2 linked regions of the Daphnia pulex genome follow. The protein of the gene in region 1 interacts with the protein of each later gene in a pairwise test. Links are inferred from orthologs where the notes say so. Each region holds a gene or a part of one and is shown in the gene's direction. Other genes may lie near its edges. The genes, in order: WASH complex subunit 3-like and heat shock factor-binding protein 1-like.

Region 1 (7,910 bases):
AAGGAAAAAGAAAAAACCATGGATATGCGCACGACACTACCCCGTCCTCCCAACCTTGGGGGTTGACCTCCTACCCACCCTCCTCCTCCTCCTCCCATTCCTCGCTTTGAGCCAGGAACTTTTCTTTTTCATCTGCTCTGCAGCTGCCCCCACCCAACCCCCTTCATCAAAGTCCTCCCACCCAACGGGTGTTTCTTTGTTGTTGGAAGCGGAAGACGACGGTTCCTGGATCCGCGGATCCACGCCAGTCTCGACATGGGCTTCCTCCGACAGAAAATAAAAAGCTAAGACGCTTCTCACTTCACAGCATGCTCAAGAAGGCACGCCATTTTTTCCCCCTTTTCGGCATTCGAATTCATATCTGGAAAAAAGCCTGACATTTTGTTTTTGGCCAAACTGCCTCGAGGTACTAAAACGGTCGAAATGAAAATAATGAAAAATAAAAGTTTAAAAACTGAAAAAGCCACCTGCCGGTTTCTATCAAAATAACTACCTAAAAATGACACGTGAAACTAAACTTGTATCAATTTAATTTGAGCATTTTTAGGCTGTGAAAGATAAACGAGTAAAAACGCTGTTGGTCGCTGTCAAAATGCCCGCGCGCAGTCTCTGCACCACCAACGAGAAATAAAAGCCGGCCGCTTGGCGTCATCGGTTCGATACCGAAAACTGCCGGTCGTGTGTGTGTGACTGGAGATTAACAATTTCAGTGAAAATAAATTCACGACATGTATCAAATGCATGAAAAATTACTTATTAAACATGTCATAACGACGGGACAATGACCTGAAGAAACTATCATGTACAACATAACAAATAAATGGAAAGTTATGTGTGTGTGGTGGAAGGAAGCTAAGGCAGCCCCAGCTTAAGGACAAACATGGCGGCGCGTCATCGCGCGCACACACACACACACACCGGCTTTTCGAGAGAGAAGTGAAAGGCTATCAAACTCAACGGCAACTCTGCTCAACGCGCCAAAATTCTCGAGTCCAACGCTCGAATTCGACTCTGACCAAATAGTTGTCACATAATTTCCCAAATATCTAATGATTACGATCCCTTTTTCTTAAAGAGTAAATATTCCAACAACAGTCATGGCGACGGGATAGAGCGTGGGGCTCAAGCCGGCCCCAGACACACGCACTCAACACACTACACACATACACACACACACACACACAAATGGCGGCAAGCACGCGGCGCGTGGGTTCTCGAGTTGATCCTTAATTTAGCCATAACGAAACCCCTCTTTTCCAACAAATTTCCTCGTTACAGACTTATTCAGAGCCGACATGAAGACAATGTAGTAAATAACAAAAAGATGGAACTTACTTCTGCTGGCCGTTTTGTGCCTTTGACTGCATCTTTCTTGGCGTCGGCGGCGATGACTTCGTCGGCTTCAACTTCCTTCGTTGCTTCCTTGGAACTCATTTTGTTTGGAGGTGTGTTGTTGTTGGTTGGTTGAGCGTGAATATTTAAGTGAGACGAAATCGAGTGGATTTTGCTCGACCGGTTCGAAAAATTATTTTAAAAAAGACTAAGAGAAGATGGAGAGTGCCTTAAAAAAGGAAGTTTGGCGCGTTCGCAAGAGTCTCTGCTTTCGAGGTGTTATAGACGGGACGGTGTAGAGCACACTGGTGGGGCCCCAAGTCTTTGGTGACTTGCATCGCCTTGTATCGGCCTCTAGCGGGGGGGTTGTCCTTAGCCTCGGGTTTTCGGTGGCAAAGCGCGTCCCTTTTGCATTTCGTGGCGTCTAGATCGAATCACAAGACCCCTGTTGTATACCAGCGCTCCAGCTGGATAAACTCCGCCCATTCCACTCTTTTCATTATGGGGAGAGAGGGGGGTAGAGGGGGTGGTAGGGTGGGGTTGGAAAAAGGTACCTTAAAAAACTCGGCTCTCCAAAGAGAACATATAGCCGTGTCGATATATTATATGCGCTGGGCTAGCCACGCTGCTACCCAGATGGCTCTGCTTGGAGAGTCCATTTTTCCCCTTCCTTCTCTCCATTCCTAGGTCTTCCAAGGTATTACCACCAGTATTAAAATATATATATATATCTCTCGCATGTATGCATATATACACTACTATACTATACCGGTATACTCAATGAGTGAAGCGTGGGGTGGTCAAAAAAGAACCAAGTCGAATATCCCCTCAAGCATAGCGAGAAAAAGCCGGTTCTGTGTAGCGTGGTCTCACTCTCGTACTTGGGATTTTCAACTCGGAAACTTTCCCACTGAAATTTTTCGAATTAAAAATAAAACTCTTGTTTTCGAATCGGTTAGCCGAAAGATAAATGAGAAACTCGCCGAAGCAGATTAGTAACTAGCACGTCACTAGACGTCGGTTGCACCACCAGCGTGATTTTTTAACCCCTCTACCGGCCATATTTTTACTGGTTTATATATCATGGGTAGTAGTTGTCTAGGCGGCGGATTGAGAATCCGCGCGAACCAGAAAACAAAGAAACGCTCATCTCACGTCTCTCCCTCATCTCCCGAAAATACCGGGTAGTTGACGTTCTTCCAACTAAAAGATAATAGCCTTATCTTCTCTTTATCCCCTACAGACGCTCAAAGCGTGGTCTACAACTAGATTGTTTGCATCAAACAGATAAATGGAAAAACTCTTATAATTCGTAACCGACTTGTTTATAACACACTTGTCATTTCTTTTTTTTCGAAATTATTTACTCTTCAACGACATTTTTCAAGTATTCTCGTACACTAAGAATGACCGGAAACTCGTTCACACGCATTTTAACAGACGCCATTGAATGCTTCACTCTTTTTCTATTCTTGTTCTCTCGCCATCTACAATCTTCGTTTTCTCTTCGACATGTACACCGCGAACGCGTCAACCAATGACGAAGAGTTTTCCTTATCGCTTTTTAGACGATCGAAGCGTTCAGTCTAACCGTCCGATTGTGGTGTCGAGTTGGAATCATCACTCACAGATGGCGTGATGGGCTTCACACTACTTTTCAAGAGCTAATTAGGATAAAAACTAAGGCAACTCTTAACTACTAAGAGCAAAGCTAGATTTAACTAAAGCTAGCAGATTTCTCACATGAATACTTGGAATCAATTGGTTGATTTTTCACCTAGCAAATATTTGAAATCAATAAATACCCAAATGTCTCGCATGGAGCCATTTCCCTACATTATCATAGGGATTAAGGAAAGTAATGAAGACTAATAACAGACTATAGGCGCCAAAGATGTTGTATTGGCCAGCACAAGGTGATGACAAACAGTCTAGAACTGAATCATCTGTCCCTTCCTCTTCTTGTCACCTCCAAGTTCAAAGTGCTTGCAACGCTTGAGGGGGATCTGCTTGCGGACTTTGCATTCTGAGCACTCCATCCTCAGGACAATCTTTTTAGTGGTCTTGGCCTGCGTAATTCAACAATGAGAAGCATTAGTACACAATTCAAGTGAACCAATCTTTAAGTCTTCATACCTTCTTCCTGAAAATAGGTTTGGTTTGACCACCATAACCCTTTTGTTTTCTGTCGTAACGACGACGACCCTGGGCAGCACTACGCTCCTTGGATTTCTTGTACTGCGTCACTTTGTGGACCTTGTGGGTCTTGCATTTTTTGCAGTAGGTGCGACGACTCTTTGGTACGTTCACCTAAAACGAGATCAACAAGTCATGAGCCGGTGTTTTCGACAACAAATTATGACAGTTTAAATGCACAACATACTTAACAACCACATACTTACAACTACAAAGAGAAATTTACACCTTAAACTTTTAAGTAATGCTAGTATTAACAGTCAAAATAACATGTCTAGTCAAGGTATCCATATGACAGACAGAGTGACAAAACAGATTTTATACCAGTCAAACGAAAAGTCTACCAATTGACACAGAATGCTAATAAACATCATCGAATTCTACTGCAAAAAGAGATGCTATATAAACATATAAGATGGTTAAATATCAAAGGATGTTGCGAGATATTAAATCGACGAGACTATACCATTTTCGGACGAACAGGCGAACGAAGTGGAAATGAGACAGAATTCTCTCCTCCGGATTGCAAGTGAACAACAGAGTTGCCTTGTTCCTCAAATAATTCGACCGCTGCGCCTGAAGGGGATGGATTCTGTGTCGTCTGCTAGAAGAAAAACAAAACAATCAAACGCGACATTTATCCCATGGATGTGATTTAATAATTCGTATATTCCACGTCGTTCTAATCAAGGAAGAAATACTAAGGGATGGAAAATAAAGGACTACCTTTTTTCGGTCCTACTGTCGAGTTCTCTTCGGTTCGTTTGTATTTTTCATTTTCGTTTAAATTGGATGATGGCAGTAACACATTTTAATGTTTGACAGGTTCCGCCCATCGAAACTAAAAGAATTTTGAGCTATTTCAACCAGTTTGTTTCCAATTCAGTTCAGTTACTAAACAAATTTGCAATTATATGTGATACCAAATTGCTGGATCTCAACTTTCGACTACAAGATGTTGAAGCCACATTAGCCATTCTCGAAGCAAAGGTAAATTCCTTCATTTAAACATTTCAATTCCACCAGCTCTTCTTTAAAGATGCATAAATAGGGAAAATTGGTATGAAATTAAATTTTCATGAGAAACAAATTTAGATTAAGCAAGACCATACCTACTCAGTTATTTAACAATACATGTCGAGCCAACTCACTCAAGTGTATCACTTTGGGGTATGTTTATCATTTATAGACAATGAATGGCTGATTCTTTTTTCTTTTGAAAACAGTTGGCTTCAGTTCCTGCACTGGAAACTACTTCAATACCGGCCATCCCACCTACAGTGCCTGCCACCAGCTCAGAATCTGTACCAGTGGCTGCAAGCGTTCAGATCCTTCCATCCGCCGTTCCACCAGTCTTTCCTGAAGATGTTTCTAGCGTCCACCAGACGGCGGTGGCGCCTCCGAATCCCGAAATCCTTCGGTTCGTCAAAATGCTTGCCTTTGGGGTTCCGTTAATGGCCGTCGAGCAGAAAATGCGAGCAGAAGGTTACGATCCATCGCTGCTCAACAGCGGCAAAGTTGACGTCACCAAGGCCCCACCAGCACCGCGATCAACCCATTCGAGCTCCGACGACGACGAAGAATCAAACAGCGACGACTATTAACACAAATAACAATTAATCATTTTCCCCGAGACTTATGAAATTTCAGTCTTATCGTGCCTGTATACTTGATGCATGGAGAAAGGATTCCGATCATACATAGACATAATCAATTCTCGATCGACGGTTGTAACCGGAGAGCCTTGATGAGAGAGTCCGAACGCGTGATGATTTATATGTTTGGCCCCACGTATAGACAATATACCACAACAACAACAACAACACTCTTGAATAATGCATGTCAAGAAAAAGAGTCACGGGCCCAGCACTCAGGCCGATTGCCAAGACTCGTACGTCCTTGAGAAAAGCTTCCAGTTGTGCGTTAGACGGGAGAGATGATCTCTCCGGACAGCCCACACGAGGATCCCGACAGCCAACCCCACCACTCGGCAGATCCAGCAGTTTCGACGTATCAAAGCCCCCCCCGCATATTGATTTGACAATGACACAAACAGGCCTCTAATATCGTGTTAGTGCTGCAAATCGTCGGTTGGGTTGGTTTTTTTAAATTTTTATTTTTTTTTTCATCCTCTCCCAGTCGAGTCAATAAAATGAAATGCAACTAAAAAGGGGTGGTGTATTTTTAGATAACACGGACCCGGCGAGTTTAATTTTAAAACAAGCTCGTCGCCCAGCTGTACACCTCGGAACTCTGGAGAAAAAGAAAAGAAGAAACTTGGAGCTCTTTTCTCCTAGAGTCAAACATTTTCCACGAAACCTATACACACACACAACACTCTTGGATATCGTAACATAACATTCAAATGTAAACATTGGTCTCTTATATGTATAGGTCCGAGTGGCAAGAAGAGAAAAACTTTGGCCCATTTGGAAAATAACAAGAACCCCATTTCTTCTAGCTCGCAGAGTGTGTGGTGTGGGGGCATCCGGCGGGCAACAGTAGCAGCCCATTGGACCCGATTTTGAGTTTCTTTTCTTTTATAAACGGAGACCGTCGACGACTAGCGTCCGTGGCAGGAGCGAAATGTGGAGCACGGCCGTGCTAAACTTAGAGCCTCTTTTTACCTAGCGACTGACTCACGACTCTATTTGTGTCGGTGATGCGGGCGCGGTGGGTGTCGATCGTCCCGACAACTTCAAGACAAACACACACACACACACTTACTTACTTGTACACACGATATATACTGGCTTGATATGTTTCAGCTGGGCTACAAGCGTGTGATTCATTTGAAGCCCAGGGATTGCTGGGAGAACTATTCGATGAGTCTTAACGGACAACATTTGAACGTTGATACGCACGCACGGCGTCAGCGATGAGCCACACCGCAATTTTGTTTTTGCTTTTCTTTTGTCCTTGGTGGCTCAAAGATGTGTAATCGATCCTGGAATGGACCGCGTCTATTTTCGGTTGGGAAAAATACAAACGAGAAGAAGAATGAAGATTCCTGATGATCTTTTTGTGCGCGCGGGGGTTTTAGATGGTTTTAAAAGCGATTCAGGAGCGATATCTTTGATGCTCAACACCTACTTGGGAGCAGTCGAAAGGAGGAGCCCTGCAGGAATTGAAAAGGATCTATGGGATCCAACCTTCTATCTCATATTGAGGTCTAACAAATTCTTCAAAGGAGGCCACACCAAAAATTCAAAGGCCAAGAATATCAGACAGCTCATTAGCTAAATGGCGGCTGACCCTTTTGCGGCGGTGTCCCGAGTGTGTGGCACTTTCCAGCTGGCACGGCCGGGAAATGGCTTTTTGCGTGACCCCGTCCCTTGGCTGGCTGTTGGCGTGCCATCTCATTTCCATAGTGGTTCCACAAAGGAGCTGATCATCTAGCAGGACGGGGGGGTTTCGTCATCGCGGGAGAGAGAGAAATGCTTCTCGTTCCAGGCGCAACTTTCTCAAGTCACACCCACAATTTGTGCGTCTGGAATCCTTCCGCCGGTATAGTAGCAGCGTCTAGCCGGCCCTATATTTGGGCATTGGTCGAAAAGGATATTTTTTCGGAAGATTTTTTTTTTGAAGAACGGCTAGGAGCTGCAGAGAATCCGGGCAATATCACGGGTAAACGGTTTCCCCTATATCCCCCCTCACTCCAACCGATATAACTCCCGCAAACGCACGCGCTCTCTTTGACGATGACATTTGTCCGTCCCCGGGGTGACAGATTTCGTCTCGATCGATCACGTCACAAGACCCGCGAGGGACATTCGCCCGCTGGCACTTCTCCTATCGCAAATGGATAACAATTTTCTAATAGGGAAAACATTTTGAAGCGCCTATATAAGAACGCTCGCGCTCTGATGCCGTTTTCTCATCTTCAAAAGTCCCGCGCGACTATTTTCGACAGAAGAAGAAGTACTACACAAGAAAATAAAATAAAATGTCGGCTGTCACCGTGCCCTCGTCCGTCGAGGTCACATTCCTTTGCCCGCGTGCAAAATTTAAAAAAAAAAAAAAGTTTCATTTTATCCCGGTTCCGACCGACGACCATCCCGCGTAAGTTGTAGCGATCCTATATCCAACACACAAGGCGATGATTCACGGCTAAACTTAGAAAATGCGGAGAAAAAATGTGCATATAGCATCATGCACACACGAGGTACTAATATCCACTCTGTATTTATCGTTTGGCCACACGACCCAAAAAGAAAATCAAAAGACCCGCGAAAACAATTCAAAAATAAAATCATTTGAGCCAAATAAGAGCAAAGCAGCAGCAGACGGTTGGAATCGGGCGTGACGAATTCGTCACCTCTCTTGTTGCCACACGCGCCGAAAGGTAAATAAAAAGATGACACACGATCTCCCGTTTCGTT
Region 2 (7,703 bases), on another chromosome or scaffold:
CACAGAACGTATCTAACTGCAACATACGATCACATCTGTGACGACCGACAGCACCCGAAATGACCATTAAACAATGTAATGGCACACAGCAAGGAACGTGAAATAACTTTGGACAAACTAGAACCTACTTGTGTGACACATTGGACAGATGCTGCCGTTTTCTTTTGGCCCGTTCTCAGCTTCACAAATGGCGAATTCTAGTTCGATAGGACAGGATATTAAAAAAAAAAAAAAAAAACAGCCAAGAAAGAATAAATGTAGCTTAACTACATAAAGTCTTAACTATACACAGCACATTTACTTTAGAGAAGGTGTCCCTATAGCGATGAAAGGACACGTCGCCGTGCGTAATTGTATAGTGTACGAGTTTTAGAAAAATGTGGTTCTGCCTACGTGCGGTTATTACATGCGATGAATCCATACTCTATCATTCACCTGTTGATGTTGGCGCTGGACCGTATAACCATAGGCGACCAACAGCAGCTGAAGGGGTTTCTCACTCAACAGTTCAGCGCGACTCGTCCCGAAAAGTGTGGTTTCTTTTGTTCTGTAGTCACCAATGCTCAACTCTATAGGAAATTTATTTATTATTATTCGATGCGGGGGAAGTTTTTTTTTTGTTTGTGTTGCTGCTGACTCGATCGTTGCATGTGACGGCCTTGCGGAAGAAAGAAAAAAAACACACCAGCACTCAAATATACACAAGGGTGGCAAAGGGATATGGGAAATTGGCCAAAAGGTGAGATTGGAAGTAATGAGGCGTGCGCTTTGTTGAGAGAAAAAAAAACAGACAAAAAGGGAAGAAAAACAAAGGACGATGTGGAAAATTCTAACGGTACTAGTCCCTGACAGAGCCGACCGTGCCTGGCCATACCCGGGTCGTCATTCGGTCGCTCTATTTTTTCTCCTTCGTGCTCTTTGGGTTTTTTGTTATTTCTACGCATGTTATCTGTTTTCTCCTCTTCTCCCCCGTTTTCTCATCAACGCTGAGTCTGCTAATCAGGTCTTTTACAATCTTACATTAGGCCAAATTCGTTTCGCTGGCAAGAGATGATGACATTCCTAGCGCAGCTCCATCAACTTGAATTACCGACAACACCAAATTACATCTACTGGCGAAGGTAGTACGGAGAAAAGACTCTTGTTGCACATTTCGGCCTTGGATGTCCATCGGACACGATTGAGGCTACTTCGTACGTCAGGGCCGGCGCTTTCACCAGAGACTCATATTTTACGTCAAACTAATCTATACACTACCGGGTCATCAAGCACGGGAATGTAGGCTAATAAGCAGAAGCGCGAAGGTTTTGACGAGCCACCCACCATTACGAGGAAGTTACTGTTGTATCCTAGAAAGTGCTGATGCACTTGATGGTTATCTATATAAAGTCGTAACGAATTTACGGATATGGCCCTGTCCGTCTCGCTTTCTCGACACCCACAAATTGACGAGTAGTATCTATTAAAAGATTTGTGAGGATGGTTGTTAATAACGACACAACGACACACAAAGAAAAGGAAAAACTAGTTTTTATCATCAATGAAAAAGCCCTACTTCGATTCGGGTTCCCCAGCTCGTTTAGAAATTACAGGATATGCATGAAAAACTTACAGTTCTGATGACCTAATCGCTGTCAGACTCCACAGCACTTCTTCCTCGTCTAACACCACTTCTCCTACGGCGTGGCTCTTCGCTGGACGATGCGGATGGCGTTTGCGATAGGGCTTGCGAAGCAAAAGTCTGGGAGAGATTATTTTCATCATCCAAACCGGACAATACTCGGTTACAATTTGGGCATTTTAATTTCAGCTTTGAAATGCAATAGCGATGAAATTTCGCACCACATGACGTCTCCGGGCAAACAAATTTCTACGTCAGAATTAAATTAATGAAAAGAAATAAAGAAAAGAAATTTAAAAAAAAGCAATACGCCAAAAATAGTCTCTCCACACCTTAACAGCAAGTTTGTTGCAGATAACGCAGTCTCCGAGATCGTCGCCTAGTTTTTTCAACACGGGCTCCATCTCCAACAACGTTCTAACTGTAAATGATACTTCTCCCTCTCTCTGTACAAATGAATATGTAATTTAAAAAATAAAAATAACATTGAGGATAAAAATAAAGAATGAATACCTCCTTTAACCACTGTGCAGCAAAGAACTTATCCAAAGTTTTTTGAGCATCTGTTTTGCTAAGTTTAGGAATGTCTGCGCTGTGATTTATACAGTCTGTGGAAGAAACTGAGCCAGTTTCCGATGAAATGATTTCTTTCATGATCCACTTGAATAGGTCCAACTCAGCAGCAGAAAATTCTGATGTGTGCCTGTAAACTTAAAATACTTAATCAGAAACATATAATTTTATCAAAAAGGGAAAACATTACTTGGCTGCTTCACTTTCAATCAAACTGATCAGAGCGAAATATTCATCATTATTGTCTTCGCACAACCTTGATTTGACAGCAAGCTGGGCAGGCTTGAGCAAATCATTTAAGGATTTTATAAGATCTCTGATTTCATTTCCTCGTGCCTGGTCTAAAACATGTCATGGTAAATCATATATATTTGTTTGATAACTTGAATAGAAAAGCTTATGGACATACTTTTAAAAACAGTGGCATAAATTTTCTCCAGTTCTTTACTAGATATCAAAGGCTTGTAAAGCAAATATTGCAATACTTGTTTTTTTTCTTGTTCATCCGCCATTTAAAACGAAAAGGATATTATGGGTGGTAGGTTAAGTATATGTTTCATGGAAATAAAGCAGGATCGAGATTTCATGAAATTTTCGCGGTAAATGATGAATCACTGAACGAGGCAACGAGCAGACGATGAAGCGGTAAAAAAATGTGAAATGATTGCCACTTCCAAACAAATGAATACAAAATTTATCAGATTGTGAGTGCCAATTATTGATTGATAAAATTATCCATTAAACATGAATTAATTTACTGAATTGAAAAATGTAATGATTAATGAGAAAATAAACCTTTATAAATCCAAAGTGAAAAGACAACAGTGTCTCAATCAATGCCAGCTGTTTCCATGGAAACGTCACAATTGTTTTCTTTTTTCAGCTGAATCTGGTCTCTCTCTTGCGTCTCTTCAGGGTCTAGTCTATTTTAAAGCAAGATTTGAGAGAAAATGGCTGATAATAACAAATTGAGCGCCAGCTCGGAGTATCCGTCTGATGTTTCTACTGAACTGAATGTGAGTGCAAGTCTCAGTAACAATGAAAGTTCGGGAAGTAACGTTCGCGATTCAGTGACTAGTATTACCACAGCCAATCCACAGTCCAGTACTCCTGATTTAAAAAACGTTCAAGATCTCACTCGCTATGTAAATACGCTACACTTTCTCAGGAAAATTTATTTTGTTAATTTATACCATTTTCTTTCTGAATTATGCAGGTTGAACTTCTTCTGCAGCAAATGCAAGAAAGATTTCAAACTATTTCGGATCAAGTGCTTTCAAGAAATATCCTTTTACACTAAATTAATTTAATTTTTTTTTTTAAATTTCTTATTATATCAAAAGCATTTTCCTTAACCCCCAGTTTTCACTTGATGATATGGGAAACCGTATTGATGATTTAGAGAGGAACATTGCAGATCTTGTCACTCAATCTGGAGTCGAAGGACCCCCAAAGTAGAACTTTGGTCATAACATCACAGCCCTCAAGAAATACTGGATTTTTTGCACATTATTCACTAGTTGCACCATGTAAGCAATTCTTTTTAAAAGAATCTGCTGTACTATAAACTTTTATTCATCCACCACCATGATACATTATGTTAACAATCATTTTTGCAGACATTGTGTAATGAAATGTTCCAAGGAAAGATAAGAATGGTATTCAATCATATTCTTAATCCCAGCCTGAGGATAAGTCTGAAATTCCAATAAATATATCATGAAAAATGCTGAGTGAACATTCATCTAGGACTAGCTTACTTTGTAATCGAAACGAGTGCCTGCTTTAGTCAACTGAGAGTTGAATTTCACGGATTGAAAATGTTGAACCGGGTTGTATGGAAACGAGTCCATTAATAGTATTGTATCATTTTTAATCAAGTGGATGTGATTGTCTGTTTTTGACAGGACATAATTGTGCTGATCAGACGCATCTCCCAAGTATCTTTCAGCAATGCTTGCCTCTGAGTAGAGCAAACAAATAGTTTCATTGGGATGCTATTTTTCTATAGTGCAAAAGTACGTACCGTATATGGACCATTCGGTAGTGGGCGAAATAACGATGCCACATTTGAAAATTTCTTCTTCCTCGTTGGCCACCATTGCCATCATCATAGTTGCAAGATAACCACCGATCCCTTTGCCAATTAGAACAACTGCTTGCCTGTCAACGTGGTTCAGCTCTTCCATGAGAAACCTGGACAAGTGGATGTAATAACGTTATCATCAGAACAACAAGGATTTGAGTCAGATTCGTTTACTTGACAACAGTAAGAAGGTCATTTACGCCAGTCTGAAGAGATCCATACTTATTTGACCTGTCCCGTCCGCTTATCCTAGCGTATATGACTTGCCGAGTTAAAGTAAAGTACGTGGGCCAATCTTTTCGCCACTGGTCAGTCAAGGCGTCCCCAGCATTCCAATCCAAGCTAAAAAAAAAAATCCAAAGGTTATTTTTCTTTATTAAATTTAAAATTACGAGAATTATGTATTTTACGTTTGAATAATAAGAGGGTAGCGCAGTTTATGGTAAACGTTCTCGTTCCAGCTACGGGGTAGTAACAGCTGGACCCTTCCGACACCTCCATTTTCGAGCGGAATTGTTAAATATTTGATCGTTGGCGTCAGATGTTCGAGAAGGTCTCGCAGTTCGCCATCATCGGCAACCTGCAGAAGTGTAGCGAGAATTTCACTGTCGTCGGCAGTCAAAACGTGAACACTGGGAATGTGAGGCCCTAGGCACTGCAGTTCGTAGAAATCTGTGTTTTTCGGTTCGAATTTGGCGTCGACAAAGTTGCAATTGTCGGCCATTATTTGACAGCTGAGACATTCTGTCGTGGCCCCGTTCACGCGATACACATGCCTCTTTTGGGGCTCGCTTGTTGGAGTGGCTAACACGTACCTAAAATGGAAATTATTCAAATATCACGTCCGATCTAAATTAAAGATTTGAATGCAGAAGTACGTGGTGTCGTTCGCTTCATCCCAGCCTAGTATGCGGTTGACTTCTAATTGGTTGAGGTCAACCGAAACAAATTTGTGCCAAGGCGATTTGTGATAAACGAGACGCTGGTCTTCCGCTTGGCCCATGTTTGAGATTGCCAAAATGAAGCCGCTGTCACCGCTGGGCGAGGGGTACAGCGACGGGGAGGCCAGCCAGCGTCCAGCGACAGCTTCTTCGACAATAATCTACAATTTTCAAATTGGGGCAGGCCCACTCAATGGCTAATTGAAAACTTGTGAATGATGTTGGACGAAAGAAAAGCCCGGGTACGTACTTGGCTGCATCCAGGCACGGCGGCCACCTGGCAGTGGAACACTCTGAATTCGTTCTGATTGCGGGTCATCCAGGCCGTCACGAAGCCAATCGCGTCCAGCCACTCGACTTGAACCAACATCCATTGCCTGTCGTTCCAATTAATGAGGGAGCTTTTGATCGATTCGACGGGATCTGGTCATACCTCTGGTTAGCCAACTGGCTGATGGCCAATTGGGTCTCTGAATTGCTCTCGAGATGGATCAACTTCAACTGGATTTCGGGCAACTGGCCCCCTGGCTTTCAAACCAAGAGTCAGACAACCAATGAGTAATCATCAACTCCTCTCTCTCTCTCTCTCTTTCTTTGTCTACATGTTGTTGCTACATAGAAGGATGGAATGTTGTTTGTACCACAGCGTGACGAATGCTACTGGCCCGCGAACGGTCCGCTAAATATTCGATGAAATCCAAATGGTGACACTGGCTAGAATTCAAGGTTGCGTAAATTAGCCAATCGCCGCCATCGTTCGGCCACATAAGGTTTCGCCAGCGTGTCACTCCTTCTGTAGAAAGTAGAAGGGGAAAAAAACGATTACTGGTCAAAACGAACAAATGTACAAACCAAAAAGTCGTGGAAAACACAAGGACGAACAAAACAACAAAAACAGAAACCTGAATATGTCCAATCGGGTAATCCGGTACAGAAAAAGTCTTGTTCCGGCTCCGAAGGAAACTGGTCGTCGTTTGCACCTCGTAGTTTCCATCCGCTCCGGCTGGTGGCATCACTAGTCCAAAAGATTCTGGTGTCGCCCAAAAATGTTGAGCAACGAGAAAAAAAATAGGTTGTTTCCAAATCGAAATTTTAAAATAGTTTCGACGCTCGTTACAAAAGCAAATGGCTATAGTTAAATACCTATTGCGATAAATGGCGTAAAGTCGGTTGGATCGCCCTGCCCATCCAACGAATCCCAAACGAGTCGGTTGCAGTTCTTCCGCTTCCAGTCGTATTTTCCACAAATCTCTGTCGGAGATGAAACGTAAATTCAATCAAGATCAAAGAGCCGTGGGCCTAGGCCCAAAAGGCGAATAAAAGAAAAATTGCTATTCACTTTTCTAGTGTGTCGTAGACGGCGTAATAGCGCTGCGGCTGATGGCAGCCGTAAAAGAGTTCGCCTTCGCTCTGCGGGTCGCCCGTGTGGTGCTGACGAAGGAGAACGTAACGGCCGTCGTAACTTGGCCAAAATTCGTCCGCTCTCCACTGCGACTTATTTCATCGTCAAATAATAAAAACAAAAAGAAGAAACGTGGACGTGATCAATCGAAATGGAGCTGAGCAGCTATGAAAAATGTTTAAATAGTTTTGTTGAAATGGTACCACAACATGAGGAGGTACGAGGACGAGTGATTGGTTGGTCGTGGCACGGTAGACACGGAGTCCGCCAGAGGCATCCCAATAAACCAGTTGACGATCTTATTCGATCAGAGGGGAGAAAATAAAAAAAAGAGACCAAAAAACAGAAGCTGCTCACGAATATTTCTAGATGGACTTGGAGGGAAACTGGTTTTTCTGTATATCATACCCGAAATCCAGCGCGTCGACTTCCACTGATCCTTGGACACGCTGTTGTTAATGAAGATGGACGATTCCGTGTCCAAAACCGAGTTGAGATCGTAAGACACTTTTTGCCAGTAAGCCCCCTATTTGAAGAAGAAACCAAATTCAATTCCAAAATATTTCTCTTTTATGTGTAGACGTGTGACTGTCAGGTAAATGTTACCTCGTCTTCGGGGTGGCGCATATAGAGGGCAGCTGTGCTGACGGCCAGCAACACCTGGAAATAATCAGAAACTCTGTGTCAGTTATTATAATCTTGGATATCATTCGACGGCTCACTTTTCAGTTATATTTAACGTATTATTATTATTTTTTTTCTTTGACATATAATATGGTGACGATTTAGCTTACAATGGTGATGGCGCATATCGCTATGCCCGTGGCTCTCCAGTTATGAGGTTCCTCGGCCTTTGCGTCGCATCCGTTTACGAGAGAATAAGAGAGACAATTATTGGCAACATTAGTTTTTCCCCTCTTACGACTTATTATTACATATTCTATTCGGCGTGTAATCACTGTAATTATGACGTTTGACGAATTTAGTTTATAGTCTACATTTTTCTGTTATTTGTGAAACTCTTTTCCCCCTTATTTTTTGGGGGTTTTTATCGCCGTTTCTCTACGCGCGGTTTAGTTC

Evidence for each region.
Region 2: the proteins of WASH complex subunit 3-like (region 1) and heat shock factor-binding protein 1-like interact in a two-hybrid assay, tested with the Caenorhabditis elegans proteins (2 studies listed by BioGRID). The link is inferred for Daphnia pulex from reciprocal best matches to the Caenorhabditis elegans genes ddl-1 and hsb-1.

Annotation. Positions count from the first base shown.
Region 1 is NC_060025.1:876,998-884,907, forward strand, and holds WASH complex subunit 3-like, read left to right. Parts: upstream 1-4,125; 5' UTR 4,126-4,235; coding exon 4,236-4,286; exon of another isoform or gene 4,287-4,353; coding exon 4,354-4,518; exon of another isoform or gene 4,519-4,559; intron 4,560-4,640; exon of another isoform or gene 4,641-4,754; coding exon 4,755-5,132; 3' UTR 5,133-5,247; downstream 5,248-7,910. Other genes in the region: bacchus-like, read right to left, coding at 1,336-1,434; 60S ribosomal protein L44, read right to left, coding at 3,264-3,401, 3,469-3,642, 3,995-3,997. UniProt on the Caenorhabditis elegans protein: Acts as a component of the WASH core complex that functions as a nucleation-promoting factor (NPF) at the surface of endosomes, where it recruits and activates the Arp2/3 complex to induce actin polymerization, playing a key role in the fission of tubules that serve as transport intermediates during endosome sorting.
Region 2 is NC_060020.1:1,195,527-1,203,229, reverse strand, and holds heat shock factor-binding protein 1-like, read left to right. Parts: upstream 1-3,058; 5' UTR 3,059-3,144; coding exon 3,145-3,339; intron 3,340-3,410; coding exon 3,411-3,477; intron 3,478-3,563; coding exon 3,564-3,652; 3' UTR 3,653-3,801; coding exon of another isoform or gene 3,802-3,891; 3' UTR 3,892-3,921; downstream 3,922-7,703. Other genes in the region: non-structural maintenance of chromosomes element 1 homolog, read right to left, coding at 1,625-1,870, 1,954-2,067, 2,135-2,324, 2,385-2,535, 2,604-2,706; inactive dipeptidyl peptidase 10-like, read right to left, coding at 3,802-3,891, 3,955-4,157, 4,221-4,390, 4,455-4,622, 4,691-5,095, 5,159-5,382, 5,472-5,598, 5,655-5,749 and 8 more.